Linked DNA regions of Struthio camelus. The protein of the gene in region 3 interacts with the protein of the main gene of each other region in a pairwise test. Links are inferred from orthologs where the notes say so. Each region holds a gene or a part of one and is shown on either strand. Other genes may lie near its edges.

Region 1 (7,626 bases), on a different chromosome or scaffold from region 3:
TCTGTTTAAAACTGGTTCTTACTTGAACCTGTAAAATTTACCCATGTACACCAAACTGGGATGATGAACCCTTAGTAGGGGCTTGTATCTTAAAGATCTCCCTAGGAGTAACTTTCATGGTGAGCAGGCTCAAGGGAAAAAAAAACATTAGGTCATTTAAACAGTCAAGCTATTCCTAATATGTGCTATATAGTACTTGTGCTTCTAGCTGTTCTAAGCATTTCTCCAGTCACTCCAGAGTTTGACAGTCCTCTCTGATTCCTAATCAGCTTCCTTTTGTCTACAGGCAAGCCCCGTTGCTTCCCGAATGCTCACGGCAATTAAAAAACATATCCCTGCCCAGGATCCATATGGGCCGAGGGAGCTGCCAGAAGACCCCTGCGCCTGCTTGGGGCGAAGAGGTAGCACGGCCGGGGCCCCTCCCAATGCCCTTGTGCAGCAGGCAGGGTGGAGGCAGCCTCAGCGCGCCGCAGAGCCCCGGCGGCAAACCTCCCTCAGCAGCAAGGGAGGTGCTGACGGCTCCGCAGAGCTCCCACACGGGGCCTGGCTGGGTGGCACCTACCTGCACCTGCGTGCTGCGCCTCACCCCCACCCTGAGCTGGGTGATGCCTTGTGCTGGTGTGTGTCGGGGATGACAAGCGCTGCTGAGGCTGGCGAGTTGTGGGGGTTTTTTCTTTCCTTTTCTGGGGGGGGGGGGGGAAGACATCACAGAGGTGGAGGGATGCAGGGGCTGAGGAGAGCCACAGCGTGCAGGGAGTGTGGCTTTGGGGGGGGGATGCAGAGCAAGGCGGCTTGCCCCCCCCCCCCCCCCCCCCCCCCGCGGCCGCGCAGACAGCAGAGTCATGGCGCGGCCGGGCGAGCAGGTGGATCTGCGCCGCTCCTCCGTGTCCCCCGAGCCGCGGCGGGGCCCTCTTACCCCCTCCCCAAAAACCACAACGGGGGGGGGGCCAGCCCCACTGACGGGGGTGGGGGGACACGACAAACTTCCCGGCGTGCGCGCGACTGGGGGGGGGGGGCCGCCGCCCCGCTAACAGGTGGCCGCGCCCCACCCTCCTCTTTAACGGCCGCCGCCCCTCCCCCCTCCCAACGGCTGCGGCCCTCGCGCCCCCTCCCTTAACGGCTGCGCCCGTTCCCCCCCCCCCCCCAACCGGCGGCGGCGGGTCACTCACCGGCTCGCACGCCCCGCCAGGCGGGAGGCACCTCCTGGAAGGGGCGGGAGGGGGGGGAGGAGGAGGAGAGGCGGAAGTTTAAAGGAGAATAGTATGCTTTTTCTTGCAAAATAAAAAATAAAAACAAACAAACAAAAAAAAAACAAAAACCCCTCCTCTCAGGCTAAAAACCGCGCCGCCCCCCCCCCTTCCCCTCCCTCAGCCGCCGGGGGCTCCCGCCCCGCTCAGCCGTGCGTCGGCCCGGCGGCGAGGTGAAGTTTCCACCGCGGTGGTGGAGGCGCCCCCGGCGTGGCCGCGCCCGCCCCGCATTGGCACCGGGCGCCGGGGCGCTTTGCCGCCGCCGCCGCCGCCGCTACCGCCGCCCGGACAATGTGCGAGCCGGGGCGGGGGTTTGGGGAGGGGGGGGGGGCAGAGCGAGCAGCGGGAGCGGCCGCGGGAGCGCGCCCCGCCGGCCGCCCGCCCGCCCGCCGCACACGCCCAGGCTCAGGCGCCGCGCCTCGCCCCGCCCACACGGCCGCCTCTGATAGGCGGGCGCCCGCCGCCGCCGCCCTTCCCCGTGGGCTGAGCCGCCCGTCAATCACGCGCCGGGGCCCGCCCCCCTCCCCCGACCCCGCCCCTCGGTCTGGTGGGGCGGCGGCTGCTGCCGGGCCTCCCGGGGGCGTCGGTGTCGTCCCAAAAAAGGGCGGGGGGGGGGGTTAGGGGAGCTGCGAGGCCGGCGGCTCCCCCGTGGGTAGAGCTGGAGGGAGCTGCCTTTGCGCTGCTGTCCGGCAAACGGCTGGGGTGGGGGGGTTTTGGGGGGGGGGGCGGGTTGGGAAGGGTAAAGGGGGGTTTGTCGTGTCTGCGTTGTCCGGTGGGTGAAGCTGTAGGGGCTGAATCCCGCGGGATTCAGGCGGTTCTTGCCTGGCCTCACGGGAAACAGCCAGAAAAACAACCAACCAAACAAAAAAAAAATCCGAATTATCTGCAGGCGGTTTAAGCCAGCCCGCGAAAGCAAAGGCAGCTGGGGCGCGATGAGGCTCCGTAGCCGAAACAAGGCACCACCTGAACCCACTCATCCTGGTTGACAGGCAGACCTCGGCCCCCCGGGGCGAGCGGCCCTGTCGTCGGGGCCTCTCCGGGTCCCCCCCCCCCAACTCGGAGCAGGAGCTAAATCCGGGCTCGCAAAACCCTCCGCCGACCCGAGCTGCTTCTGCCGATTCAGGTACGCCGGGGCCCAGCGCGCCTCCGCTCTCGGGCGTTTTACTACCGCGAGGCACTGCGGTTACTCTAGAAAAGGGGATATTGGGTGGCGTAGACCCCCCCCCCCCCCCCCGGCCGGTCATCTAGGAGCGGGCGCGAGGGAGCTTTGAGGCAGGACAGCAGAGCGTGTCCCCCTGGTCGCGGGGAAAGGGGCGTTTGCTCTAACGTACCCTTCCAGCGCGCCACCACCCTATGGTATTTCCCTTAAAAAAACAACAACAACAACAACAACAAAAAAGGTAGCTGAGAACCTGAAAACGGGGTTAGAAACGGTTGATCTAGGCACCCCGGTTTGACACGGGTAGCGAAAAGGAAGCTGGCGCCCTGCAGAACTCGTAGCTGGAGCGCTGCGTAGATGAAGCAAGTTGCAAGGACGGACGGACGGACGGACGCCCGCCGAGGGTGGCGCGGGTTTCGTTCAAGGCGCGTCCGAAGCCACGGGCCGAGGCTTTTAACCTACCTCGGAAACGCTCGCTCGCTTCTAAAACGCTCTCCTGATCCTGAGCAACCCCTCGGCTCTCCGCAAAAGCAGGGACCGCGGCTGGCAGAAGCGCAGCATCTCTCCTGAGCGCGCCGACAGCGGGAGCAGCAGCAGCAAACACAAAGGTGATGGGTTTCTTCGCAGGCACACGCACGTACGCGCAGCGCACCGCCTCTCTGCACTACCTGTCTCGTCTTGTCTTATCCGTTTCTGGTGAGCAGGCAGGGTACTGGAGCATACAGAAATCCTGCTTTTTGAAGCACCCTGGAAGCGGGCTCAGTACGTTTTTTCAATGCCTAGGTGGCCCAGAAGAGCTGATCAGCGAGCAAAAAACAAATAGGTGGTAGGTAGCAGACACAGGTATGGGCAAACCTTAGTTTCCTGCTTCGCCCTGACCTACGAGTACCAAGAAAACAGAAGGTGGGACTGAAACTGCCTCTTGCTTGTTCTTTGGTGCCAGATCGTAGCAGGACATAAGATACCTGAGGACTGTTTTTTGTTTGCAGTCTGCTGCAAGACAGAGGCATAATCATCTATTGGTGAGTCATGACCACGCTATCACATAGGGATGATGACACAAACTTGTGAGGGCAGAGTAATATAGCTTAAAAATGTCTCTCTCGCTCTCTCTCTCTCTCTTTTTTTTTTTTAATAAAAAGCAAAACATTGGGATGAGATCCTCAGTTGTTGCAAAGCAGCATAGCTCCATTGCTTTCGGCAAAGCTGGGCTGATTCATGCTTGCTGAGGATATGGTCTGTTTCGTTTGCAAAAAGTCATCCTGCCTGGCCGGACCCTTCCTTTCTCCAAACTTGAATTTAACGCTAGTAAAACGTCCTGGCCTATGTGAGGCCTCTGGAAGGCAGAGCCCTCTTATTCAAGCACAGGACATGCAATGCCGCTGTAACAGCAGTACAAATGCCACCACCGCAAACCGCTGGTAACTCCTCCTGTGGTGTCTCCGACTGGACCATCACCAAACTCTTCCAGCGGCCAGTGCGGTTCGTTGCCCTATGGCAAACGTCAAAGCAGGCAAAGAGAAACATGCAGCTCTCGAGGAAACCCTGCCGTGACACTAACTGTTGCAAGCCTTGCTTGACGGGAGGAAGGGAAGGCTGGTCGTAAATTGGGTCTGCTGACACTTAGAGCAATGAAGAGGAAATGGGGAGAATCTCAGGGGGTCCTGACTTCCACGGTAAAAGTGCCAAAACGGAACTTGCTGTGGGGTTAGAGAGCTGCTGAGGCTTGCTCTGTCATCCTGATGCCTGCAGGTTTTCCTGACTGTCATCAGCCTGCAAACCGGAGCCCATAACTCACGGCCGTGCTTAGCCCATCTAATGTCAGTAGGGCTTTTTGTAACAGTACTCCAAATCGAGTCCTGGGAAGGTATGTCGCCGAGTCTTGCAAGCGCTCTGACCCCCAAAAATAGTTGCTTAGCGTTGCTATTCCCCTTTAACCTCGGCAAGAAGGGAGTCATAGACAACAGGTGAGCTCAGCTTTCCACCGTGTGATGCACAAACTTGTGCCAAGAGCTCATTTAGCACTGGATCTTCCTATTCGGCTGTAGATCAAGGCTATCCCAAAAGTTTTTTTAAAGGATAATCTTTTCTTAGAGTTATTTCTGGTAGAAACACCCTGGTGACAGCCAAGCTGAGCTATTTTGCCTATTCCGCCGTGCCGCCCCCCCACCCCCCCCCCGTGAATATTTCTTCTTGCTGCCATCAATATCACCAGCAAAGTAAATAACAGTAATTTTTTAAATATACAAGGGGTTTGAATACATCCAGATTTTCCTCTCAAGCCTGCCATTTTGCACCAAGAGAAACACTGGTGTAATTAACTCAGATAAGCTGAATTTATGCCAGCGTAAATGAGACCAGTCACGGTGACATAAGGATGTACGTTCCTGGCCAGCCTTGGGCTGCCATCTGTCTCTTCTCCCGGCCAGCCCTTCAGCGCTGCTGCCTGTCCTCTGGGCCGGTTCCACACACAATTTGTGATGCAGAACAAGCCCAATTTGTCATCTCTGCCTGCTCCGTTGGCCTCACCCCACCCCGAAGGGTCTATCAATTCTCAGCAGACACCCAGGGGAGGGTAGTGCTGTTAGTTGCCTTTTTTGTTGTTGTTGTTTTGGAGTGTCTGCTTGTGTCTTCTGTTCCTTTGAGGTATGGGCGATTACACCTAACTTTGTGTAATTTTGCAGACTGCTTCTTTCCATGGTTTTGAGTTCTCCCTACACTCAGCTAGTCCATTTTTGTGGATTTTTTGTTTCTTCTGTGTAACTGAAACTTTCTTGGAGTGTTTGGAAGGGAGACCGTATCTGTATGCTCTTCTAAATATTGTCTCTGGGAGCATATTGAGAGCAGCAGAGATTCTGGGGTGATCTTTGCTTTCCTGCCATACCAAACTCTTTATGATTTATTTGTTTATTTGTTTATTTATTTCTCCTGCAGAAACACCAGACTCGGTAATCCTGCAAGCACTTCTGCCATTCTGGCATGTTTCTCTTGCCCATCTCTGTCCAGAGCTTAGAGGGTCAGTAATATCATGGCAGAAAGCGAATGGATATGAGGTAAAGTTTGAAAGTTTTTTGAGTTTTGCAGAGAATGCAAATTGTTTCCTTTTTGTATGTAACAATGTAGCACCAGTAACTTGCCATGGCAACCAGCTTATGAAAGGGGGGAAAGAAAAAGATCATCGCAAGGTGCTTGGTTGCTATAGCAAGGAAAAAAGCTGAGACCTTATCCTTTTTGTTCACTGGTGGACTGTGCATCATCTAGGTAGCAGAACTTGTCAGAAGAAGTTTGTAGTGCAAGTTAGCAGCCTTGCCAGCCTCTCTGATACTTGGATCAAAACCGAAGTGCAGTCAGGAGGAAAGAAGGAAATAGTCAGAAGAATTGGAACAGGACTGGATTTTCAGAAATGCAAGGCCAAATCCATTTCCGCACTAAGCTGATGCAACTCTACAGATGCCAGTAAGGGATAAACCTGTTTCTACTGAAATGAATTTGGCTCACAGTCTCCAAAAGCCTCTGTTTTGGGTTCTTTTCACTTTTTTTTTTTCTAAAAGGGAAAGGTGTCTTCTGCAGATCTGGGAGCATTTTGGAGTTAGCTTGGGCAGAGGATGGAGTAGGCTCGAAGGCTCCTTCTTCAAACCCATCCTAAGGATGCTTCTGGGAAGGGCAGGCCCGTTGATGTACAACTTATTTATGGAGAGAGCTGAGACCTGACAAAGGGAACTGGTTAAGGACGGAGAGGGGAAACCTTAAGAGCTGTCACTGTGGGAGGAGATGAAAATGGAGTTTTAGCTGAGGGAGGATGATTTAGAAAACTGTTATGTATGTGAGTAGTCGGAGAAGCCAATGGACCTCTCCTGTGCTTAAGGTAGGCACGTTTGTAAATCTTGTGGGGGGATAGGAGCTACCTGAAGTGTTTGTTCTGTGCCTAAGCTGGATGGGTTGCTTTCTGGGGAATACCTTTGAAAAGTGAAAGAAAGAAATTAAAGTTTCTTAATCCCTAGGCTATTGATATGAGCTACAAGTAGCACTGCTCCAATTGGGTGATGGAATGAAGTGTATGCTCCTCCTCTTTATTTAAAAAACATTCCCTCCCAGTTCAAGTTTAGGCTGCTGGTAAAGTAGTAAGGTGGTCAAGCTTGCGAAACGGTAGCCAGCCCTCCGAGTAGCCTAGGGGCTTAGCTGAATTTACAGATAAAACTATTGAGACTAGTGGACAGTCCTTTTCCAACTTCCTGGTGAGGCTGTAGAGAAAATATTGCTAGATCACAAGACCCAGCAATAGCACTACTTGGAAAGCAGCCTTGGAGAGAGGATTTCAATGTAACTGATAAATCTATATGGAGATGCAGGGCTATAGTTTACTCCTGACAATGAATTGCTATACTGTAAATGACTGACTATAAAGACACTGTGGGGAAAATCTGAGTCTTCTGCAGCACACGGAAAGCCCTAGATAAAGGAAAGTCATTGATTTAAAAGAGAAAAATACAAGCAAGAACCATTTAACACTGTAATTTAACCCAGTCTGCTGGAGAGCCTTCCTAAAGTCTATGAGCTAATCCTTCCTGCAGATTGCACCAAAAAAGACATGGCCACAAGCGACATCACAAACGTGAAATTCTGCAAGCAGGGTCATCCCGCAGGGCGGGTTTCTCAGAGGTACCTCAGGCTTGGAAGCAGCGGTCCAATTGAGAGACCACATGGAAAGGAGGGGGGTGGGGGGGGAGGAAAAGTAAGACCAGTCCAGTATTTTAGGACATCATCAGCAAAAGACACTGAACGGAACTAGAGATATTTCCTGTACTAGTCAATTAACAGGATAAAACCCTGAATTAATTAACCCTGAATCATTTGACAAAACCTTCCTCATATCATCTCCATCAAAACGCCACGTTGCTGCAGATGACCCAACCAGAGCATAGAGCCACTTTGTTTCTAATCTCCAAAATACTGGCATTGAAATTGGATTAAATTCTACTAAATACAGTACTCAAAAGCCCCTTTAAACTAAACCAAATGAAAACATCCCAGAACATTCTGGGTAGGCATAGCAAAGTGACTGGTTTGGAGAGTTATCTGATCCCGGACGGGATCCCTCCTGTCATGTATTTCCTTTTTGACAGAAACAAAGAATTCGGGCAGCGCCTTGCCAGGTGCCTGACCCAAGCACCACTAGTGTTAGAAATAGGAAGGATTCCTATTGACTACAGTGGATTCTGC
Region 2 (7,394 bases), on a different chromosome or scaffold from region 3:
AATATACTGCTTTTATTTCATTTGAAACTTCAGAATTATAACTCTTGGTCTCCTAATACCATTTGGGCCTACTAAATGCCATCAAAGTTTTTTTTTCTTTTTTGCACTGTACATAGTTACTAACTTTGTAACGGACATAGGAAATACCTGCTTTTAAGATGTGTAACTCACTTTTCTGTGGATGATCTTAGTTTAACTGAACACAAATATTCCTCTTGTCCTGGTGCATGATCAGTAGAAAATACTACGCATGAAAATAGATTATTTTTAGAATCAGAATATGGGAGCACTGTAATTCACTTCCGGTCACCTCCACCTTAAAGAACTACATACATGTTCTCATTTTGACTTCTAAAGCTAGGATTTCACGACTTCTGCTATCCAATGCAACAGAGAGAATGAAGTGACAAGCTGCTGAGAATCAGAAACGGTAACTCCCTAGCTTATAATTTAGCACTGAAAATTTTTGTTGAGATATGTTGTCAGTCTTCAGGCAATCGCGTCAATAAATTGATGGCATTTTCTCCTACCACAACTGTGGTAGGAGAACCTTAACTATTTTTATTTATAACACTGATCTTTTCCATAGCAACAGGATATGAACACGGCATTCCCAGCGTAATGAAGTCACTATAGCAACACGATAATGATGTCAGAATAATCAGAAAGTTTTTCCTACTTCAGCCATGGTGAACTACACTACTTCTCAAAATTAAAAACGTTGCAGATATCACAAAGGCAAGGGTGCTCCACGCCAAACTTCCCTCTAAATTACCTCACTTCTGCTAGCTTCTTACGAAAGGTTCAGACCTTGAGTAGCAATGCGGCATTTTCAACTTCACGAGGGCTCGACTCATTACTGCCTAGAGGTTTCAGGAATTCCACATTAAATAGCTTTCGGTGAGAATTAACGACATACCGTTTCATTAAGAAAGAACAACAACTCCTCATCAAAACCGTGAAGAGCTTCGCAGTAAGGACTGCGACTCTCAGTTAACAGCGTGTTTCCTCGGTTTAACCGTTCAAAGGATGCGGTGCCCCTTTTCGCTTTGCATGCTACTGCTACGCACGCCAAACCAAAAAAAAGCAACCGCAACAGAAAAGGCGTCGGGGTATCATAACCCTCCGCAGGCGACGGGCCTCTGCAAATGGAAAAAGCAACTATTCCAGGAAATATCGTCTCCCTTAGCGAGTTATTGGGGGGGGGGGGGGGACACAGAGTTTTCATGATTTGTCCTTTTTGTGGGCAGCTCTTTCCAAGTTGTGACCAAAGCAAACCCCCCCCCCCAAAGTCCCTTCCTCAGCTCTGTCAGCCAGCACCAACTTCTGGCCGCCTCCAAAATCCCAACCCGCCGGCTGACAAGGCGGCAGAGCAGCCTTCCAACCCAAAACACCGCTCCGGCAGTTAAAATAACGCCAGCAAAGACGGTGTCTACACAGAAAAACATCCCCTGGACAGAAAAACAGAAACAAGAAGCCGTTTCCGAGCTGGAAGCGGTCTGGGAGGCCGCGACGACCTGCTCCTCGCCGCTGCCGGCGGCCCGTGTCCCAAAAGCCCCTTGCCAAAACTTAAACCGCGGTGCCCCCCCCCCAAAACGGGCCCTTCCGGACCTGCCTCCGCCCCGGCTTTGCCTCACGCGTGGGGACGGCGAGGGCCGAGCAGCGAGAAGGCTCCCGAAACGCAGCGCGGAGCCCGGCCGCGGCGGCCTCGCCCCGAGCGCCGCTCTCGGGCTTCCCTCACGCCGCCCTCGGCGTCCCCTCGGCTCCCCGGGGGGGGGGGGGGGGGGGGCACAGCGGACTGGGCGCAAAACACCGCGGTTTGGGCTGCTTCCCGAGCGGAGCGGCCGCCGGGGCGACTCCCCGGCCAGGCCGCCTCTCACTGCCCCCGCGGCGACGCCCGCCGCCCCGCGCCCCCCCCCCCCCGCCGCCGCCGCCCCGCCACAAGATGGATGTCAGCCCGGCCCGGCCCGCCGTGACAGCCCGGCGCCGGCCCTGCCGCCAGCCGCAGCCCCCGCTGCCGCCCCGCTCACCCGGGCCGCTCCGCTCCGCCTCGGCGCTCGGGGCTGCTGCGCGCGGCGGGGGCAGCGCGCCCGCTCCGCCCTCAGCGGCAGCGGCCTAGCGAGGAGCCGGCGGGGCCCGGGCGGGGCGGGGCCGCCCGTGACGGGGCGCCGCCATGACACCGCCCCCCGCCCCCCCCCCCCCCCCCCGCAGCAGCGGCGGCCGGAGCCGCGCTGAGGTAACGCGGCGGCGGCGGCCGGAGCTGCCGCGCGGCTCGGCGGGCTGGCGGCGCTCCCGGTAGGCGGCCGAGGCCGGTAACGCGGCCGGGAGCGTTTCTTGCCCTTCATCGGGGCACAGCGGCGCGTCCCGTCCGCACGGGGAGGGAGCCGGGCCGCTGGTGCCTGGCGGGAGACCCCCCCCCCCCCCCGGGACGGAGCTTCCCCCCTTTTCGTCGTGTTTTCAGTCGCCAAAACGCACCTTGAGACGCGGCATTTATTAGCTACGTACTTATTTTTAAAAAACAAACTGATAAATAAAGCCTTAACAACCCCATAGGATCAAAGTAAAAATATACCTAACAGGAGACCTGCAGCCGAGGAGAACCGAAGACGAAGGGAGGAAAGAGGAAACCGCGCGTCTCCGCGTTGTCCTTGTGTCACTCCGCGTTTGGGGGCGACGGCAGCCGTTGGTGCAGCGTCGGGGCCGACCGAGCGGCGTCTCCTCGCCTGCGATCGGGGGGACTCCTGCCCTGGCTCTAGCGTGAACAACCCGGCTGTCAACCACCTAGTCAAGAAAAGCCAACATCAGCACTTAAATTTCTACAAAACAGAAGTTTGTGCTAATTAAAAAAAAAGAAAAAAAAATCATGTAAACGCGCCATAAGAGCTGCGGTCGTTTCCGTGATTTGAACGCATGGTGCTCGGTGAGTATGGCTTAAAACGCAGAGGGATACTCCATCCGTCCGCAAGCACGGCGTCTGCCCACTGCGTAACCCGGGGACACAACGAGGGCTGCAGCCACCGCCTCCGGACGAGCTCAAGGTTAGGCGGGGGACAAAGGACTCCGAGCTGTTGCGAGAGGTAACGGCAAAGCTCCTGCAGCAGCTGCAAGAGGCTAAAACAGGAGAATTTGCTGTGCTCCTTCCCAAAGACTCTCTTCATTACGTTGCTCTTGTTCAGACTTGCTGGCAGCTTGAGTATAAAACATTTTTTGCATTCACATTGCCTTTCATCCAAAGGGGAAAAAGCTAAGTATTATTTGTATTAATAAGAAATATTATTTCCTTCACAGATGGGGAAACAGAGACAGATTAAATGACTTATCCAAAACGCCTAGCAAGTCAGTGGCCAAGAGATGAGTACAACTAAGAATCCCAGCTCTCATCCTCTACTCTAATCAGAGAAAATAGCACTCCCGCTGTGCTTGTGAGTGCAGGAGAGATCTACAGTGCAGAAGAATTTTGCTTCCAGGTATAAATCATGGATGCTGATATTGATCTGTAAATCCCAGTTCTTTATGGCTCAGGTCCTAGCAGGGTATTTCTTTCCCTGGGGACCACCATGCTGGAAGAAAGCAAGTAAATCACTATTTCTTAATTTGTATAGCTGGAGGCAGGTTAGTCTCAGTGGAGGGATTTCCACATTTGCTTTCTCCATTAGGTTTGGCAGAACTCAGACTTGTCAACCTCAGTAGCATTGTTCAAAATCCCTCCTTTTGCAGGGAGGCATTTTATGTGGATGGATCACATGCCTTTAAGGATACCTAAAGCTGATTGCTGAACATCTTTGGTTGCTTCAGAATTGCAGTTTTATTGTTGACTCTAAACTTAGGCAGCAAATGACTGGCTGTATATTGTTAAAATTAAGAGGCTGTATCCAGAAAACATGCAAAGACAAAAAAAATCAGTAGTAACTGATTCAAAAAAAAATCAGTTTTGAAACTGTAAGTCAATAGTTGTGAAAGCTGCAAGTCAATAAAAATTCACTCCTGTGGATAGGAGTTGCATGAGAAGATCCTGCTTACATCCTTAAGGGGCTTAATATACTTGAAGGTATATAAGCATTCTGCCAGGCTTTATCAGAAGAGTACATTTTGCTTGCAGGTTTCCTTTAAAACTAAAGGTTTAATAAAACTTTGTCTCAAATATCAATGCATCTACAGCATCCAGACACACTCAGCGCCTGATTCAGCAAAATAAAGGACCTACTTAATGCCTGTTCTAGGACAGTTGATTCCCCCCGCCCCTCCTCCAGTTTTCTACAGATTTAGATGCAAGCTGAAAACATTTATCACTTAATCAGACTTTGCACGTACATGAAATTAGATCTGGATGAATGTGAACCTTGGCTATGAAGTAATGCATTAAAAAGGAAGGCAAAGGATGAAGAAAGATCCAAGTTCAACTGCAGTCAGTGGGAATTTTCCTACCAGTTTCTGCAGGGAATAGATCTGGATCTTCATTTCTTATAGCCCTGCATGCCACCTTTTTCCATTAACAGAACAGATACGGCTCCCATAGACAGACTTATATAGACGGGGCCTAATTCTATATGCTATGAATTCATGTATAGTTAGTGCTATGAATGTGCCTGATTCACAGTGCTATGTTACTGCACTTCTCCTGTGTAATGGTGCTTGCTCTTTAGCAAAGAAATTGAAACTGTCAACTCAGTGTTATTAAGTCTTGCATCTACACTTTCCACACCTTGCCTCTCCTTCAGTGTGTTTTCTAAACAAGAAAAAATACTATCATTTCAGGAGATATCACTGACCACCAGGTCTGGTAACTGGCCACCTCTTGCCAAGTGTCAGGAATAGCTTAAACTAGACTTGAACTAGTGAAACAGAAAGGAGATTCTCCAGGATCTGTATGTTTCTACATTACTACTGATGTCATCGCTTACGTCTGCTTAAAGTGGGTAAGAAGTGCTAACATCCCAAAACAGTGGATTTCTACTCCACACAGCCTCAGCAACACCACAAGGAAAAAAAGCAAAGAATTAAGCCCTCTATATCCTGTCATCTACAGGGTACAACTCTTTATATATTGAGCACAAAAAGATCCTTAACATTGCAGTTTTATAAAAAAATTGCAAATTATCTTGACCTTTCTACTCTTTTAAAAAAAATGTTGATGCATAACATATCTTTTCTGAAGTCCCTGCTCTAAATCCATTGATATCATTAAATTATACCAGTGCTTCACTTTTTGTGTTATGTGGCCGCAGTGAAAGACTGGGTAGAAAACATGGTTATTCCCAGCAACTGCAATAGGATTGACATTCTTTGCCTGGATGTGCTGCTGAGTTCTAGGGGTTATACCGAGGTTCATATAGACAGATGAAAATGAGTCATAATCCCTCAGGACACTTTTTTCCAAAATAACAATTGCCCAATTGGATAAATTATCACAAGTTCAGCTGATGCAAATAGCTAGCTAATACCCATTTGCTCATTTAATGAAATCCAGAAACAATGTGCAATCTCATAATGAGCCTGGATTCCTAGCTGATAGAATCACAAGACTAGAGAACAGAAGTCAGCTCAGTAAAACACATCAACAGTACGTTTAAATGCAAGTGTATTTGACACTGTGCAGACTCATAATACATTGCTGTTATTAAATGCAAAGGTGCTGACTTCATAAGGATCATGTTCTGATTGACTGAACTTTGTAAACCGCACAAAACAGGAATTTGTCCTTTCCAAACACTGTGTGATAATGAAGAAAGGATAGTCATGAAAGAATCAGAAAAATATTCATTACAAAAGCTCAACATGAGCTTTTGAAGTGGAAACATAATATTTTCTTTACAGTTTAGATTACAATGTATCATCAGGAATAATGACAATTGTAATATTAACAGTGCATGCCAACAACTACTGGCACTGTAACGACAGTAATTTCTTTCACTGATAACGTGGATACAGGGGTCACTGAGCATGCGCTTTGTCTCACGTCACCAGGCCGTGCAACATCATGATGCAATGCTCTAGAGGATGCAGCGTCCCTGCCAGGGTTCAGACCACGAAGGACAGCTTAAAACATACCAGCGTTCGACAAATTCTGTGGAGGCAGGTGAGCTCCAAAGCTGTGAGCCTATTATCAGAGCAGATAGGCAGGACCAAACAGGCTCCTCTGCTGAAAAAAAATCATTCATCCTCAGGTTGCCGCAAACCCATTTTTTCTGTGCCTGCTGTCAGGCTGGGTGAAGCTACTGGATAATTATCCAGATACGCTGGAAGGTGTGGAAATTGGGGAGGGAAGGCTGGACCCAAGGCAATGCTCTGTTTAAGGTCTAACTGGCTTCCTAAGGTAAGACCTGGGCTAGCTCTGGAGGTCAGAGTTAGAGCCCAGAAGAGCAAGCACTTCTCTCTGCCACTGTCTTCTCCTGACTCAGCTGATATCATTGAAGTTTCCTGAAAACACAGGAAAGGCTAAATCCCAAGTGGTTGCTGCAGATGCTGAAGTACTTCCAGGTTTCAGCCTCAACAAAGACTGTCTTCACCTATGAGCACAGAGATTACAGAACAGATGAGGAGGCAGGAATGGGATTCCCTTTATCAGAAGTACAAAAGATCCTGGGCCTTCTTCCTCTGTGACTTTTACTGATCTCTCTGAAAGGGAGATAGAGACTTCTTAGGCAGCTTCCTGAATGCTGTCCTAAATTGAAAGCACACCAGAAGTGTCTGGTGTCTGTCTGGTGTTTGTGATAGCACAGAGTAGGGAGAAAGGTAGAGACTGATACTTGTTTCTGTTTCAGTGGTTTTTATAAATATCATAAAAGCCTGAACCTTGCTGGGGAAGGAAGCATTTAAAAAAAAAAAACCACACACACACAATTCCTGCTTCTCAGGTATGTCAGGCAACTGCTTATTATCATACATAGGAGTTCCCATTCTTTAGGCTAATGGCAACATAGCAGGCTGATTTTTCTACAGGCAATTCAAGAATTTACTTGTGCAAAAGTGTAACAGCCTGGCATTTGCTATGAGATCAGGCAGCTGGCAAGGAATTGTCCCCAAGTGAGTTAAAATGAGCCGAGAAGTTAACTTGTGTACCTCTCTCTCACTTTTTAATCACAGGTATTGGTTGCAGAGCTATATTTGAGAGTCTTTCAAGCAATGTTATCCATGCATCTCCCCACTGCACAGCCAGTCTATTCATGGCAGAGATTTTCTTCCAAGCAGTGTGCTATATTTATTTTTTGGTGGGAGAGAGAATTTTTTTCAGAAACTGGGATCACAAAATAGAAGACTCAGTGAACTTGCTTCCCTTGCGCCAGGAACCGTTTGTGAAACATACGGGAGATGTTACCTGTTCTGGGAGGATCTAACCAGCAGTAAATGGTGTTGGAGGTGTCCAACTATGCAGAAAGACAGTACTGAATTGGGCC
Region 3 (7,957 bases):
GAAATGAAAAACATGAGTGGGGAGCACAAACTCACTTGCTGTTTTCTAGAGGTTTTTCTTGAATTGTATTGGTGCAAGCTAGTTAAGTTAACACAGCTTTGGCTCTCTACAGAGTACATTTCCCACCTTCTAAGGAGCCCTGATCCCTCTATTAGCTGGCTAGTGCCTCCTTTTAACCAATGAAACCAGTGATTCATCATTATTTAACTGCAGGAAGTCTTAAACCAAGATCTGAGGACAAGTGCACAGAAAACCTCAGAACAAAGTGTTTTAAAGGGCAATTAAAGCTGCCAACTTGCCTTGCAAATAAGGCAATAAATGAGCATTTTTACTTAAGCAGTTAAAGATCTACTGACCTAATAAAAATAGGCTGGAGACTCAACTTGACAGAACTTTTGGATTTGACAACTGAATGCTACAAGAAGCAGCCCAAAACTTTGGGGACTGTTCTAGGAACTGATAGGCAAGACTTCCATTGGCTAGTTTTTTTTTGTGTGTATATGGCAGAGGCAGGGTAGAAGCTGTGGAAGGAGAACTCTCATTGTTTGCAAAGCAATATAAGGTTCAAGGAAGCTGTTCATGGTTTCTGATATAGCTAACCCTTACTACAGCTCTTGGGAGGATGGACAGAGCTTAACAGGTTATTGTACTAGATTCACTTCCTAGACAGAAATAATGGCAAGAGAATTGGAGGAAGCACTGGGAGACAGGAGGATGTCATACAGGCAACTTCAGGGATTTTTCAGAAGTAGGAAACCCTTTGACATGTATGAAAAGCTCTGCCTACAAATGCTGCAGAGTGTATGAGCTACAGCTATGGGCTTATACTGACGACAAATATTAGTTTCACAACTCCATCACAATTCTCACCTGAATGCTGTCTCTTTGTGCTTAAGTTCAGCATATCAATTTGTTTTTAGGAGACTTCTGAATGAGTACAGTAGGATAGGCTGTATAGCCTCAAATAGAAATTCGCACACAACTTTACTCTGAACTAATAAATGTCTATACAGCAACTAACTCTGAGGTCCAGTTCTGATGAGGCTTTTCTGTACAGAAGCCAGTACAATAGCTGATACTTGGAATTTTAAGATTTAGAACTGAAAACTGGATATGCTTACTCATGTCTTGGAAGGTTAGGCTTAGCACCTTAACTATACTATGAAACTTGGGGAGCTTTTTAGCTCTTGGCTTGTTCAGGGTTTTCTTATTGTTCTGGCAGAAACATTACTGGAAGAACATAACCAGAACTGTGGTCCCTCAAGAGCTGGATGTGAATGGGCTGTTGCAGCCCATGGTCAGATATTTCTAATCTACACCATGGATACTTTAAGAAAGCAAAGCACATATGCTTTCCAAATGCTGGCAAACTGGGTTAAATAGAACAGTTGCCTACAATGTCCTTATACTAGTGAACACAGCACAATAAACAGTTTTCTGCTACTTTATATTTGAACAAAGCTATAAAGGCAACCCACAAATTACCAAGGGAGTTAAAACAAAAAAAAAGCCATTGAAAAGTAACTCTTCAATGCCAGGTTTTGACTGTTATGGGGAAACACTTTCAGTGCTATTCCTCTATGAAAAAGGATGTTAAACATACATTTAATGGTACACAGTAATTGTAAAGATAAAATGGCAGAATGAAACCTGAAGAATATGTTGAAAAGATAAGCGTGGGCCAAATAACATTCTAGTCTTTAGTTTGACAGAGTAACTGTCTCATCTTCTGGAAACAAGCATAGTCAAACCTCCTGCATTTGAGACTGCAGACCAATTGTGCATTAAATACTTGCAGAAATGAAAACTCACCCAATATTCCAGAGGAGGATGCTTTAAGTTACCATGTGAACTGACAGTGCCTATAGTCAACCAACTAGTTTGCGTTCACATAACACAAGGCTACCTGTAGATATTAATGGTTTTTTTCCCCCCAAGTATAAGCACTGCTGCTCAGAAGAGTGCCTTCAAAACGGGAAATTCATGAACGTGCTGTAAGTTTTGTTAACAAATGCAGTCTTCAAGAAATGACAAGCTATAAAAGTTGCTGACTAGTGGCTTTTCATCTTTTAAACTTACAAATTGAACAGACAGCGTGCTAACTGGTGCCCTAAAAATTCTTAGGACAAGTATAATATCCTCATTGGCCTGCAAACTTCAAATACTTCTAGTTTTCATCTTTTCAGGAAATAGCAAAATCTGAGAAAAGGGAGTAAATGTTCCTGGTTTGAATTTGAGGACACTAGCCACAACATGTTTCTGCACTAGTGTCATAGAGGAAGGAAAGAATATCTGTGTACTGAAGCCAGAGAGTGGATCAGGGCTACGAACTAATTTCCACAGCAGTGTGTCTCAATCAGTTGGAAAGTTTGTATTCAGCCTCTTCTGGGGAACCAGAACTACAAACTGAACTTGCTTGAGGCAAACTTTAACAACTCAATGTGAGCTGAATTTCCAGGTGAAGTGCTTGTTCTGTGTTAAAGTAAGCAAGCAATTCAGAGATCTACTTCCTCAATGATACCACCTACCCTATCAATTGATCTAACTACACAAGGCATCTAGTATGTCCATACCCTCGGTACCACTGTGCTAGTTTCTTGTGCTAAAGCAAGCACAGCTTCAGGTGCCAAGTTTGCAGGGTTTGCTTAAGTTGGAGTTAACTCCTCCTTCCTGGGACAGGAGGAGGAAGTTTAAGTACTCCAAAGATAAATGTACAGCTTTTCAGGATGTGTTCATCTCTTCTGTTCTATTAAGGAAATTAAAATAGCAGATATAGCAGTAGACTGGGCAGAAAAATATTACATTTATTTAAAATGTAATGTTCTTTAGAACATATACTCACCCATAGAAAAGGAAATAGAAGTCTGAGCTGATGGCTGTCTTACAGTGAGCACGGTCAGATCTGGGCATGAGTAGTTTCCTGTGTGGACGGTGCAGCGTCTCAAGGCTTTTTCTCTTACAAATGAGGAATGTCTGTCCAGCCGCATTTACTTCTGGTTTACTAAATACACACTGAGACTGTTTTTTGACTGTTTTTACTTATGCAAAGTTCCAATTATAAATTTTTTTTGAGAAAAAGCTTTCTTGCTCCTTGGACTTAAAGGTTTTATGCTGTCTGGACTATATGGCAGACAGTAAGCTGAGCTATCATAATACTCTAGCATGTTCTCAGAGAGGCATGGTCAAGTCTTTTACTGCCTAAAAATGTCCTGTCATTTGGTTGTCACAGGTAATACTATCGATTTCAGTGACCATGTAAGGGAAGAGTGAACTTGAGGTTCTTCAACCTGGAAGTGCAGAGTACTTCTACTAAATGTTTTTGCCTACACTATAGCTGCTTGAGATAACGGAAGTTTACCTTCTGTTACACACCTCTCAAGGTGAAAAAAACATTCTGTATTTAAGCCAACAAACTACTAAATGAGTTATTTCATCCAAAGCTGGACAAATGTCCTCATAAATTTTTCTCTCCAGTGAAGACCATATACAAATGCACATGAAAAGTAGTTAAAAGTTTGTTCCCTAAGGTTAACTTTCCAAACACTTTTCGTTTCTACCAACATGTTAGCCTGGTCTTGTCAGAAGCTTATGCTTTTGCTAATTGCCTGTACATAAGGCTGTTCAACTATTTTTGACTAGGTATTACAACTTCATGAATAAAAAGAATTGTCAACATTGTTACTTTAGAAGCAAAGCAACCAGCTGCACTACTAAAAGGTTGGGGGAGGGGACAGTGATTCAAAAGTTGAGAAGCATCTGCTTATAGTTCAATAGTAGCTATTTGGCTAAATCCAACCTAGAGCATCTCGGATCCTGCTACAGATGGCATACAGATCGCAAACATATTACTGACAAAAAGCTGTTCAGAAATAACAGTATTAGATCAAGAGGGAACTTCTATCCTTTTTCAGTATTTAAAAAAAAAAAAGTGATTTCACCCTGTGTCTTAAGGTCAAGCTGGGAAGCTTGCATCTGTCTTCTAAACTTAGAACCTGCTATAATAAAATGAAGTTACTTCATTTTATAAGTAGGGCATATTTCTCCCACTCTTGGTTTGCATATGGGCCTTTGGATTGAGCCTTCCTGTACTGAAATTGTGGGTTGGAAGGGTGTGTACAGGGTCTCATTTTTCTTCCTAGCTCAGATCTGTCTCATTTGCTCAGGATTGTATCTGTATTCACATAATACACTCAGATGTAAAACAGAGAAGCTTTTTGAGAGCTACAGTGCTAAAGCTGCAGAATGAATTGCACAGAAAGGCATTAGCACCTATAATATGTTAGCATCAGCAACAAAAGACACCTTACAACCAACAAAACACGTGCCAGTACCTCACAGCAAGAAAAGGACCGAGACACTTTGCTGCTGCTGCTGCACTTGGAGAGCAGATATTTCCTTCGGCGCAGAGGTGCCTAAGCAGCTGCGGCTCTCGAGGGGCGCGCCAGGAGGACGGCCGAAGGGGAGGGAGCGGATCCTCCCGGGACGGAGCGCGCCGGGCTCCCGGCTCCTCACCTGCCCTCTGCGAGCTCGGGGGGCTCCCGCTGCTCCGGCGCCGCCCGTCAGCAGCCGCCCGGTGGACAGCTCCGGCCTCCTGACCGGGATCCCCCCGCCAGACCGGTCCCGAAGAGGGGGGGGGAGCCCAGCCAGGACCCCGCGGTGGGGCTGAGGGTGCCCCCAGCCCTCCCCATTGGGCGTAGCCTGCTCCCGGGAGGAGGGGACCCCCCCGCCCTTCCCCGCTCCCGGGGGGGGGGGGGGCCGCGAGGGAGGGGAGGACGACACTGGGAACAGCCTAGCCGGCGGGGGGGGGAGGTGGTGGCGGTCTCCATGACAACCGCTCGCCCCCGCCCTCGGAGACGGCGATCCCCGCACTGGCCACCCTCCCTCCCCCCCCCCCCCCCAATCCCGGCCGGGGCAGATTGGGCCCGCCCGCCCGCCCCGCGGCCCCCGTCGGGCGGATACAGCTTGAAGCCCCTGAGGATCTCCTTGGCCCGCTCGTCCGTGGCCGACATGGTCCTGCCGCGCCGCGCCGCGGGCGGACGGGGCTGCGCCGGGCTCGCCTGGCTCCGCGGGCCTGGGCGGGAAGGCGGCGGTGACAGCGGCGCCTCAGGACCCCCCCCACCCCTCCCCCCCCGCACTCCCTCGCACCCGCCACTGGCCAGCGCAACCAACCCCAGCGGCCTGGCGCCGCCCCACCCCCCCGGCTCCCAGCCGCCGCCAATGAGCAGGGAGCGGCGCGCCGGCGCCCCGCCTACTGGAGGGGAAGGACGGCGCGGATGACCAATCAGACGGCGTGCCCGCTTTGCCTCCGCCTCTCCGCCCCGCCTCCCACCATTCAAGGGCGGCTGCGCAGCGGTCGTTAAGGCGTACGCCCCTGCCAAGCCTGACGTCGCCGGGGGACGGGAGTCGCCGCAGGACAAACCTTTTCCAGCCGGCTCCGCTCCGCAGCTGCTAGCGGCGGCCGCCGGGGGGCGCCAAACGGCGGCGGCGGCGGGCGGGGCGCCCTCTGGCGGCGGCGGGCCGCGCCCCTGCCGGCGGGGCCGGCCCGTGTCCCGGGCTCGCAGGCGGGGCTCAGGGGCCTGCTCGCCCAGCGGCGCCCCGCTCCGTCGCGCCGGCGGAGGGGCAGGAGGGGCATGCGCTGGGGGCAGGCCGCAGCGGGCGGTGAGGCGGGCGGGGGCGTCTGCCCTTCGCCCAAAGAGGGATGGTGGGCTCGAAGGCGAGAGCAACCGTCCCAGGGCTGGAAAATCCCTGTGGGAACGCGGGTCCGGCTGCTAGGGAAGCCGTGACCTGTCCCATAGCTAAGGACAAAGCAGCAGGGAGTGGGGCTGGAAGGGATGGGGCTCAACACTAACAGAAAGCCGTCTCTGATTTTGTTGAACGTCCGGTTAGGCTGCAGAGGCTGCTGTGTGTTTGAAAACTCAGGGACTGAGCGTTCCTCAGTCCGTAGGCTTTTTGAGGAAGAGTGAGGTCCAGACAAAGAGCTTTGGAAGAGAGAGAAGTTGTCCTGCTTGAGAAGAAACTCGATCCAAGTATACCCCTTTCACCTAGGGGCTGCCAGGGCCTCAGCTTGGAGAACACTGTGTCCTGTTTCTGTTTCTGTACTGGAAGAGGCCTCAGCCTCGTGTTTTGGCAGAGGGTCGCACACCTGCACAGCCATTCGTGTTAGCGTTCACGCGATGCGGCTCCTCACAGTTCGGGCCTTGCCTGGGAGACGTACGCTGGCAATAGTGCAAATACTGCTGGGACTACGCCCGAGCTAATCGAGCTCTGTTAGCGTTTCTCTTCGTAAGACGGGTAGATCTTGCAGCAAGTTCGTCCCTCAAATTGTTTGACAGAAGTTAAATTGAGCTCAAGTGAAGGATTAAGTTTGTAGTTTTGCAGGCTTCACTGTTCGCATTATGTTGCTGTTCTCGCTGCCTCTGTTCTTATATGCAGAGTAACTACTCTTCTGCATGTACCAAGGCTGGAGCTAAAAGGACCAGCATTATGGGGAAAGTTTGAAATGAATAGTTATGTTTCTCTGGAACAAAAGTGGCCTTCTTTGTACTACAGAAATTTGGCCTTTGTGTAATAAAGTAGATTCTAGGGGAAAGTCTCTGGCTAATCAGCGCATCCTAGGAGCCAGGCTATTCTTTAATATGAGCACGACAAATTAACTCCTCCGTTAACAGTCCAAGCACAGCTAATACAAAGCATTAATAAGCCCTGAGGAAAATAAACGCAGCAGTTGTAATCTGGTCCTCCTCAAAGTACCTCAGAACAGTACCAGCTAATAATCACTGTGCCATCAATATTTTCATGGCTCTGCTTGCCTCAAAATCAGCCACTGTACAAATGAGGAGAACATGAACATTCATAAAGGTCACAATTAATGCATTAAAGACAAGGCCACTTCCAGTATAACCAGTAAGTGATCTTAATAATAAAAATAGGTAGCATTTATTTCCCTGATGTATGTGATCCGTGTTCAGTTCCACACCATCAGTTTAAAAGTGTATGAACAGATCATTTTGAATCTGGGCAGCAAGCCAGGGGCACACTATGCTAATATATATCTATCTTTTATTAAGAGTCCTTCCTGGCTTTGAGATAACGTGCAATTACACGCCCTATCTAAGGAATGGGGAATAAAGCTCACTGAGGAGACAAGACTGGTAGGCATAAAAGGTGAGCAAGGAAAAAAGCAGAGGTGAAGAAGGCAAAAAGCAAATGGTCGGGTATACGTGAAGAGTCTGTCAGGTGGAAGTAGGACCTGCTGGATTATGGAAGACATAAGGAGCTCAATCCCGCCTCTGTTCAGGCTGCAGAGAGAGGAAAGAGCCACCCAAAAAATGGATGTCACAGCTAGGAGCTCCTGCAGCATTAAAGGTTTCTCTGGCTGTGTAGGGCTTACGTTGAGTTGTCGTGAGATCTCTGTTATATGTAATTAGTAGGGGAGCCTCGAGGGGAGATGAGCACAGGGGCAGGAGACTTTCCAGAATTTAGAGTTGGGGCCTTTGAGTTTTCTGATCAAATCCCAGAGTTCTCAAATTCACCTTGAGGTGAGTCTCTGAGGTGAGGTAGAGGCAGTCTCTGCATCTCTCACATTTGAGCTCCCAAAAGTCACAAAAGAGGTAATGGCTGAAGTGTTGATGTCTTGTGACTGCTCCGGGTATGAGCAACAGTGAAACATGTGACACGATAACTCAGGCAGTGACAGAAACCCTGGGATCTCCCTCCTCTCAACATCCTTTGGCTGCATTAACACAAATAACACCCTTTAGCACATCAGCTTTCTGATCCACTTGCAAGACAGTTGTTCCAAGTCTCAGCATCCCTTTGTACCAACTTTGTGCTGAAAACTTCACCTTTTTTCCTATCTCTGGAGCACGTGGAGTTGGCAGGTGTCACAGTTTCTGAGCTGTCATTGCAGACAAGAAGATGCCTCCAGCCTGCTTTCTGCTTCCCCAGAGGACAAGTC
Region 4 (7,098 bases), on a different chromosome or scaffold from region 3:
CCGTTGGCTGCGTGGGGGACGGGGTGCAAGCTCCTGTCCGGGCAAAGGCCTGGTAGGAAACCGAGAGCAGAGGGAAGGGGGCCCTGGGCTGCTCTTCTCCCTCGCTGGATGCTGTCGGCTCCCACCAAAGGCCTGGAGCACCCTGTCTGGTCCTGGCAGGGGGGGTTTAGCATGGCCAAGGGTTTGAAGAGTCAGACCTAGACTGAGCCTGCCCAACGGAGCTGTGTGTGACCAGAAATAAGACCCATAGCACATCCAGGGCACAGTCAAGCTCTTTAATGGCAGCTCCAGGCAGGTTCCCGTGCTCTCTCTGAGCATCAGGCTCAGCTGGGTGCCCCAGGCCGCGAGACGATCGCAGCTCTGGCTGGGGCTGGGGCCGACCCGGCCACGCGTCCTCCCCCAGGAAGCTCACAGGGTGCGTGACACCACGTGTGCTGCCTCGATGACGTTGTGCACGGGCCCCCCGGCGCGGGGCAAGGCCCTGGGGCTGCAGCTCCTGTGCTGGAGGGTGAGGAGTGGGTTGGGCTTGCTGAGCACCTCCTCACTCACGGAGATCCCCTCCAGGTACTGCTTGAGCAGCTCCCGCAGGCGCTGGTTCCTGTGGCTCAGAGCTGCCTTCTCCTGCACCAGCGCCAGCTCCTCCAGCTTTGCCTTGTTGAACCGCTGCCAGAAGCGCTCCAGCCCCACGTAGTCCTGCATGGCCTGCGCAGGAGGGAGGGATGAGGAGGCCGGAGGGCCCAAACCCACCCCTGCACACAGGCACGTGCGCACGAGCCAGGCCAGCACTGGCTGTCCCCAAGGCTCTCCCCTGTCCCTCCCTCCCACATGGCAGTGCCTAGCCAGCTTGGGACCCCAGCGCTGCGTCCTCACCTGGGCCAGAGGCTCTGCAGGTGTCTCCTTGAGGACTTGCTCCGCGTCCTGCTGCTCCCCCTCAGCCAGCGAGGAAGGGTAGAACGGCAGCACCTTCTCCTCCTCCGTCTCCAGCTTACGGCACATCTCACCCAGTCGCAGGACGCGCTCTGCCTGCAGGGGACACCGGAGAGGGCAGGTAGGGAGGGGACGGGTGGGTGGCCCGGGATAGCCCGGTCCTGCCCCAGGGCAGGCAGCACGCAGCCTGCAGGCCTCACCTTCTCCACGACGTGCATCAGCACCTTCAGGGCAGCGCTGCTCTGTGTGGTGAGCTTGACCAGGCTGCTGCGGGCCTTGGCCCTGGCCTGGTTCATCTCCTTCTTGAGCTCCTGGAGCTGCCTGAGGATGACCTCCTTCTCCTCCCGCACGCACCGGTTCTGCTCCTCGCTCTCCTGGAGGTGAGCCGCGATCCTGCCCTTTATGGCCGCGATGGAGTCCTGGGGGCACATGAAGCGTTAGCGACAGGATGGGGGGTCTCGGGGCTGCGCCTGTGCCATGAGTTTCTGCAGCCACAACCTGGAGTTTCTGCAGCTTCTTCGTCTGCATCTCTATCTCCTTGGAGCTCTTCTTGTCCTTCTGCTTGAGCACTTCAAAGGCAATCTTCCGGTCCTCTGTGGCCTCTGTGTAGCTGTGCAGGACCTGCTGGAACTGCTTCCAGAGGGCCTCCACCTTGTTGCTCAGGTGCAAGCGGCTGTACTGCTTCTCTTCCAGTTGCTGGGGGGGGAGACATTGGAGGGGGTGTCCCACCAGCCCTTCCCCTCCTCCCCAGGCTGTGACCACCATGCTCCAAGCGAAGCAGGTCCCTCTTGCCTCCACTGCGGCTGAGGCTCCACCAGCCCTCACTGTGCTCTGCTCATGCCCCGAAACCTAAAGTGCTCCTCACCAGAGTCAGCTGCTAAAGAGTGTGCTAAAGAGCCTGGCCAGTTCCTCATCGAGACCTGCCCTGTCCCCCACCCTTGCCTTGTTCTTGATGTCATCCCAGGCGCTCTGGAAATTCAGCGTGGCCTCGTAGTTGTTCTCAACGAAGTTCTGCTCCACGGCCAGCATCACGTCCTGTAGGTAGCAGCATTCTTGCTTGTGCTGCTCCAGGATTGCTCTCCTGGGGGAAATGTCGGGGAGCTGCGGAGCACAGGGCCAGGGCAGGCCAGGGGGTCCCCTCTCCAGCGTTACGAAAGGGCTCCCCACCAGGGACACAGCGTCCCGGCAGGACAGCCAGCGGGTGCCACCACTGCACCCAGATCCCTCTCTCCCTCTCCTCGATACCTCTCCGTCTCAAACTCCTCCTTGAGAGCCTCCAGCTCCGTGTTATAATCCTCCTCCAGGTAGCGCAGGCGGCAGCGCTGGAGCTGCAGCAGGCGGTCAATGTTGTGCAGGTGGCTGGAGAGGGCCTGGGCGTGCTGCGCCTCTGCCTCAAACAGGTCTCTGGCCAGGGACTGCAGGAGGGAGGGAGGGAGGGTCAGGCAGGGGGCTCTGCGCAGCCCTGCCCTCCCACCCCGGCAGCCCCGCGCTCACTTTGATGACGCTGTCCTTGCAGTCCATCACCCGCGCGAAGGTCTGGCTCAGGATCTCGACATCTGTGCGCAGCTCCTTGGCCTTGGTCACCCGCAGCACTGCGAGCCACTGCGTGTTGATCTTGTCGAGGTTCAAGGCGCTGCTGTGCTCCTCCTTGGCCAGCTTGTCCTGTGTGGGGGGCCGTGGGGTCAAGGGGCAGTGGGGACGTGTCCCACGGGGGACAGAGCCGGCCGGCACGCAGGGAAACGCATCACAGGCCCCCAGGCACCTTCAGGAACTGGTTGAGCATCTCCCCCTTCTTCTTGGCCTCCTCCTCCTCGGCCAGGGCTTGGCGCTGCAGCAGCAGGAGCCGGTTCTCCTCCGTCGTGCGGGCGGCCGCAGCCCGCCGGCGCCGCTTCTTCGGCATGGCGGCGGGGCTGTGGGGCAAAGTGTGTGTGGGGGCAACCGGGGTCCCGGTCACCTCCACACCAGGGTGCCCCCAGGCCCCCTCCCTCTGCTCCCAGCCCCCCATCCCCTTCCCTGTGGGGTGCCCCCCATCTCCCACAGTGCTCCCTCTTGGGTGTCCCCCCTGCCCCACTCACCCCTCCCCCATCAGGTGTCCCCCCCTCTTTCTTTGGGGTGTCCCCTTTCTTCCATGGGGTGTCCCCCCCCGGGGTGTCCCCTCTGCCCCACTCACCCCCTCCCCCATGGAGTGTCCTCCCTCCGTCTTTGGGTGTCCCCTCTCCTCCATGAGGTGTCTCCCCCCGGGGGTGTCCCCCCTGCCCCACTCACCCCTTCCCCCATGGGGTGGTCCCCCCCCTCCTTCGGGGTGTCCCCCTTCCCCGGGGGTGTCCCCCCTGCCCCACTCACCCCCTCCCCCATGAGGTGTCCCCCCCCGGGGTGTCCCCCCTGCCCCACTCACCCCTTCCCCCATGGGGTGTCTCCCCCCCCTCCTTCGGGGTGTCCCCCCTCCCCGGGGGTGCCCCCCTGCCCCACTCACCCCCTCCCCCATGAGGTGTCCCCCCCCGGGGTGTCCCCCCTGCCCCACTCACCCCTTCCCCCATGGGGTGTCTCCCCCCCCCTCCTTCGGGGTGTCCCCCCTCCCCGGGGGTGCCCCCCTGCCCCCCTCCCCGGGGGTGTCCCCCCGCTCCCCTGCCCCATCTCCCGCCCCCCGATTCCCCCCCCGGTACCTCTCACGTCTCCCCCCCCCCCCAACCCCGGGCCAAGCAGCACCCGGCCCGGCGGCTCGCGTCCCACCGGTCACCTAGCAACGGCCACTTCCGGCTCGGGGCGGAAGCGAGCGGGCCGCACTTCCGGCCGCCGAGAGGCCCCCCCGCAGGCAGAGAGGCGCCCCCTGGCCCGGAGGGCTCCCGCCGCTGCCCGGAAACCGGCCCCGCCGCCGCCCCGAAACCGTCCCGCCGCTGCTGCCCCTGCTCCCGCAGCCCCGTCCCGGCCTGTCCGGCCCCGTCCTGCCCCGAAACCGGCCCCGCTCCGCCGCTACCTGCCCCAGGTGCGCCCCCTCCCCGGGCAGCGACGGCGAGGGAGGCGGGGCGGCCCCCCCCTCGCCCCTTCGCCATTGGCCGCGGCGCCGAGCGCCCCCGCCGCGATTGGTGGGCGGGCGCCGCCGTGGGCGGGGCGTGGCGGCGGCGGCGCTATATAAGGGCGCTGCGGCGCGGGCGCGCAGGGCTGGCGGGTGGGCGCCGGGCGGGGGAGGGTTGCGCTCGGGCCGCCGCCATGAGGGAGCGGAGGCCGCCGCCGCCCGCCCCGGCCCGCTGCAAGCTGGTGCTGGTGGGCGACGTGCAGTGCGGCAAGACGGCCATGCTCCAGGTGCTGGCCAAGGACTGCTATCCCGAGGTGAGGCGCGCCGCGGCCGCCGCCGGTAGCGGGGCTCGGGCCGGCGGCGGCACCGGGCGCTGACGCTGTCGGTGCCGTTGCAGACGTACGTGCCCACCGTGTTTGAGAACTACACGGCGTGCCTGGCCAGCGAGGAGCAGCGCGTGGAGCTGAGCCTCTGGGACACCTCCGGTACCGGGGGGAGCATGCATGGGGAATGAGGGGGGATGCCCCTCCGGTACCGGGGGGAGCATGCATGGGGAATGAGGGGGGATGCCCCTCCGGTACCGGGGGGAGCATGCATGGGGAATGAGGGGGGATGCCCCTCCGGTACCGGGGGGAGCATGCATGGGGAATGAGGGGGGATGCCCCTCCGGTACCGGGGGGAGCATGCATGGGGAATGAGGGGGGATGCCCCTCCGGTACCGGGGGGAGCATGCATGGGGAATGAGGGGGGATGCCCCTCCGGTACCGGGGGGAGCATGCATGGGGAATGAGGGGGGATGCCCCTCCGGTACCGGGGGGAGCATGCATGGGGAATGAGGGGGGATGCCCCTCCGGTACCGGGGGGAGCATGCATGGGGAATGAGGGGGGATGCCCCTCCGGTACCGGGGTGGGGGGGTTGCACCTCCGGTACTGGGAAGGAATGCATGGGAAAGGGGGGTGCCTGTCTGGTACTGGGGGAAGTGGGGACATTCCCGGGGAGGAGTTGGGGGGGAGAATGCCCTTCCGGTACCGAGAGGTGGGGGCATGCAGCGGGGGGGGTGCGGCATGCTCTGGGGGAGCTGCGCGCTCAGTATTGCGGGAGGCTGGTATCGGGGACCTGTGGGGGAGCATGGTGGAGCCCTGCAATGGGGCACTGCAGTGGTGGGGGGGGTGTGATGCCTGGGCTATGGGGGGGCTGCAGCACGGGGGGAGCCTGCAGTGGGGCACGGTGGGGGGCTCTGACCTGGTTTGAGGGGGCTGCAGTGGGGGTGCATAGCCGGGGCTGGCTCAGGGTGGGGGCCTGGATCCTTGAGGCTGGGGAGTGGGGGGGGCCTGGTCCCCTGGGTGCAGGAGGGGACAGGGCTCTGTGGGGTGGGGGTGATGCATTGGGGGCAGGTATGGGCTCAGCACCCCTTTTTTGGGCAGGAGCCCAGCACCAGTGCAAGCCCCTCTGTGTTCCTAGCCCCCCTTAGGGCTGCATGGGGGCCTCTGCAAATGGAGGAGTCCTGCCATTGCCCCATCCTGGGGGGGGGGGGGGGGGGGGCTGGGGCAGCCTTGCCCCGCTGCTGCAGTGTCCCCCCCATCGGCAGGGGGTCCCCGCCACCTGCGGTCCCCATGTTGCCATGGCGATGTGCTGGCGCAGCCTCTTTGCTATTCCGCGCACGGAGCGTCTGGGCTGCAAAACCCCTCGGAGGACACGCTGGGGTCGGGGGGGGCAGCATGGAGGGGGTGCCCTGCCTCACCCCCATGCCTGCAGGGGGGGCTCCCTCGCAGTGTCCCTCTGCGGTGCTGGTGATGGGGCATGCCCCATGGGGGTGGCCTGGTGCCCTGCCACCCCCTCACCGGGTGCCCCGGCTGGTCCCTGACACCCCTGTTGCTGGCAGGGCTCCCTTCTTGTGGGGGAGGGTTTGCGGTTATATAAACTCCCCAGGAACCATTTCCTGCTGCCTCATTAGTGAAGATGGGTGTGTTAACGAGGCAAGGCAGTGTTTTAGGGTGCTCTGGAGCTGCTCCCCCTCCTTTGCAAGCTCCCTGCTGCCTGGGGGGCAGCAGCCCCTCGGCCATTGCGGGGTGCAGCGTGGTGACTCCCCCCCCTTCTCCCAGGCTCTCCCTACTATGACAACGTGCGTCCCCTCTGCTACAGCGATTCGGATGCCGTGCTGCTCTGCTTCGACATCAGCCGCCCTGAGACCCTGGACAGCGCATCCAAGAAGGTGAGGGGTGCTCAGCCCCATCCCTCCGTGCACGGTCGTGGGGACCATTTTCCCAGGAAAGCCCCTGCATTGGGATCGGGTTTGGGGACCCCAGGGTGCCCAGCTGACTGTGGGTTTGTGTGTGCAGTGGAAGACGGAGATCCTGGACTACTGCCCCAACACCCGGGTGCTGCTCATCGGCTGCAAGACGGACCTGCGGACGGACCTGAGCACCCTCATGGAGCTCTCCCATCAGAAGCAGGCGCCCATCTCCTACGAGCAGGTGCTGGGGATGGGCTGGGACCCAAAATCAGGGTGCTGAGGGGGCCAGTTTGGGGGCAGCAAGTCAGTTACTGCCTCAGTCTGACGTGGCTTTGGGTCACAGGGCTGCGCTGCGGCCAAGCAGCTGGGAGCAGAGAGCTACCTGGAGTGCTCGGCCTTCACGTCGGAGAAGAGCGTGCACAGCATCTTCCGGACCGTGTCCGGCATCTGCCTCAGCAGACCCAGCCCGCAGCTGCCCAAGAGCCCCGCGCGCAGCCTCTCCAAGCGGCTCCTGCACCTGCCCAGCCGCTCCGAGCTCATCTCCTCCGCCTTCAAGAAGGAGAAGGCAAAAAGCTGCTCCGTCATGTGAAGGGGGGAGACCAGGACAGCATGGCCCTGGCCCCCCGAGGCCCCCGCACCGGGGCAGTGGGGGCTGCGGCGTGGTGCCCCGCGGGGAGGATGCCGGCGGCCCCCCACATCACACCGCTTCCCCCCAGACAGCGCGCACGTCCTGGCCCCTGGGGCTGGGGGGCAGCCCCTGCTGTGATGCCATGGGGTGGGGGGACCTGGGGGACCCCCGGCGCAGAGGGGACCTTGCTCAGTGGCTGCTCCTGAGCCCCCGGAGCTGGCAGGACTCATCCACGGACTCATCCTTTTTCTTTGAATGCCCAGTTGGTGTCTGGCTCTGCCCCATCCCTCATCTGC

The links.
Region 1: the proteins of PDE6D (region 3) and HRAS interact in a two-hybrid assay, tested with the Homo sapiens proteins (2 studies listed by BioGRID). The link is inferred for Struthio camelus from reciprocal best matches to the Homo sapiens genes PDE6D and HRAS.
Region 2: the proteins of PDE6D (region 3) and RAP1A interact in a two-hybrid assay, tested with the Homo sapiens proteins (2 studies listed by BioGRID). The link is inferred for Struthio camelus from reciprocal best matches to the Homo sapiens genes PDE6D and RAP1A.
Region 4: the proteins of PDE6D (region 3) and RND1 interact in a two-hybrid assay, tested with the Homo sapiens proteins (2 studies listed by BioGRID). The link is inferred for Struthio camelus from reciprocal best matches to the Homo sapiens genes PDE6D and RND1.

The regions. Positions count from the first base shown.
Region 1 is NC_090946.1:15,871,038-15,878,663, forward strand, and holds the start of HRAS (GTPase HRas), read right to left. Parts: upstream 3,011-7,626; 5' UTR 2,869-3,010; intron 2,749-2,868; exon of another isoform or gene 2,660-2,748; intron 2,371-2,659; coding exon of another isoform or gene 2,237-2,370; exon of another isoform or gene 1,902-2,236; intron 1,680-1,901; exon of another isoform or gene 1,170-1,679; intron 685-1,169; exon of another isoform or gene 619-684; coding exon of another isoform or gene 308-618; exon of another isoform or gene 1-307. Other genes in the region: LRRC56 (leucine-rich repeat-containing protein 56), read left to right, coding at 308-618, 2,237-2,370, 5,341-5,459. UniProt on the Homo sapiens protein: Involved in the activation of Ras protein signal transduction. Ras proteins bind GDP/GTP and possess intrinsic GTPase activity.
Region 2 is NC_090965.1:8,961,115-8,968,508, reverse strand, and holds the start of RAP1A (ras-related protein Rap-1A), read right to left. Parts: upstream 3,011-7,394; 5' UTR 2,876-3,010; intron 2,782-2,875; 5' UTR 2,573-2,781; intron 2,164-2,572; exon of another isoform or gene 2,031-2,163; intron 1,896-2,030; exon of another isoform or gene 1,612-1,895; intron 1,138-1,611; exon of another isoform or gene 920-1,137; intron 859-919; exon of another isoform or gene 776-858; intron 1-775. UniProt on the Homo sapiens protein: Counteracts the mitogenic function of Ras, at least partly because it can interact with Ras GAPs and RAF in a competitive manner. Together with ITGB1BP1, regulates KRIT1 localization to microtubules and membranes.
Region 3 is NC_090950.1:21,896,464-21,904,420, forward strand, and holds the start of PDE6D (retinal rod rhodopsin-sensitive cGMP 3',5'-cyclic phosphodiesterase subunit delta), read right to left. Parts: upstream 3,002-7,957; 5' UTR 2,988-3,001; coding exon 2,843-2,987; intron 1-2,842. Other genes in the region: COPS7B (COP9 signalosome complex subunit 7b), read left to right, coding at 7,918-7,957. UniProt on the Homo sapiens protein: Promotes the release of prenylated target proteins from cellular membranes. Modulates the activity of prenylated or palmitoylated Ras family members by regulating their subcellular location.
Region 4 is NC_090969.1:1,008,274-1,015,371, forward strand, and holds the start of RND1 (rho-related GTP-binding protein Rho6), read left to right. Parts: upstream 1-4,088; 5' UTR 4,089-4,134; coding exon 4,135-4,254; intron 4,255-4,337; coding exon 4,338-4,425; intron 4,426-6,043; coding exon 6,044-6,153; intron 6,154-6,280; coding exon 6,281-6,415; intron 6,416-6,517; coding exon 6,518-6,763; 3' UTR 6,764-7,098. Other genes in the region: CCDC65 (dynein regulatory complex subunit 2), read right to left, coding at 409-702, 871-1,023, 1,128-1,346, 1,426-1,623, 1,870-2,008, 2,173-2,342, 2,422-2,589, 2,690-2,827. UniProt on the Homo sapiens protein: Lacks intrinsic GTPase activity. Has a low affinity for GDP, and constitutively binds GTP. Controls rearrangements of the actin cytoskeleton. Induces the Rac-dependent neuritic process formation in part by disruption of the cortical actin filaments.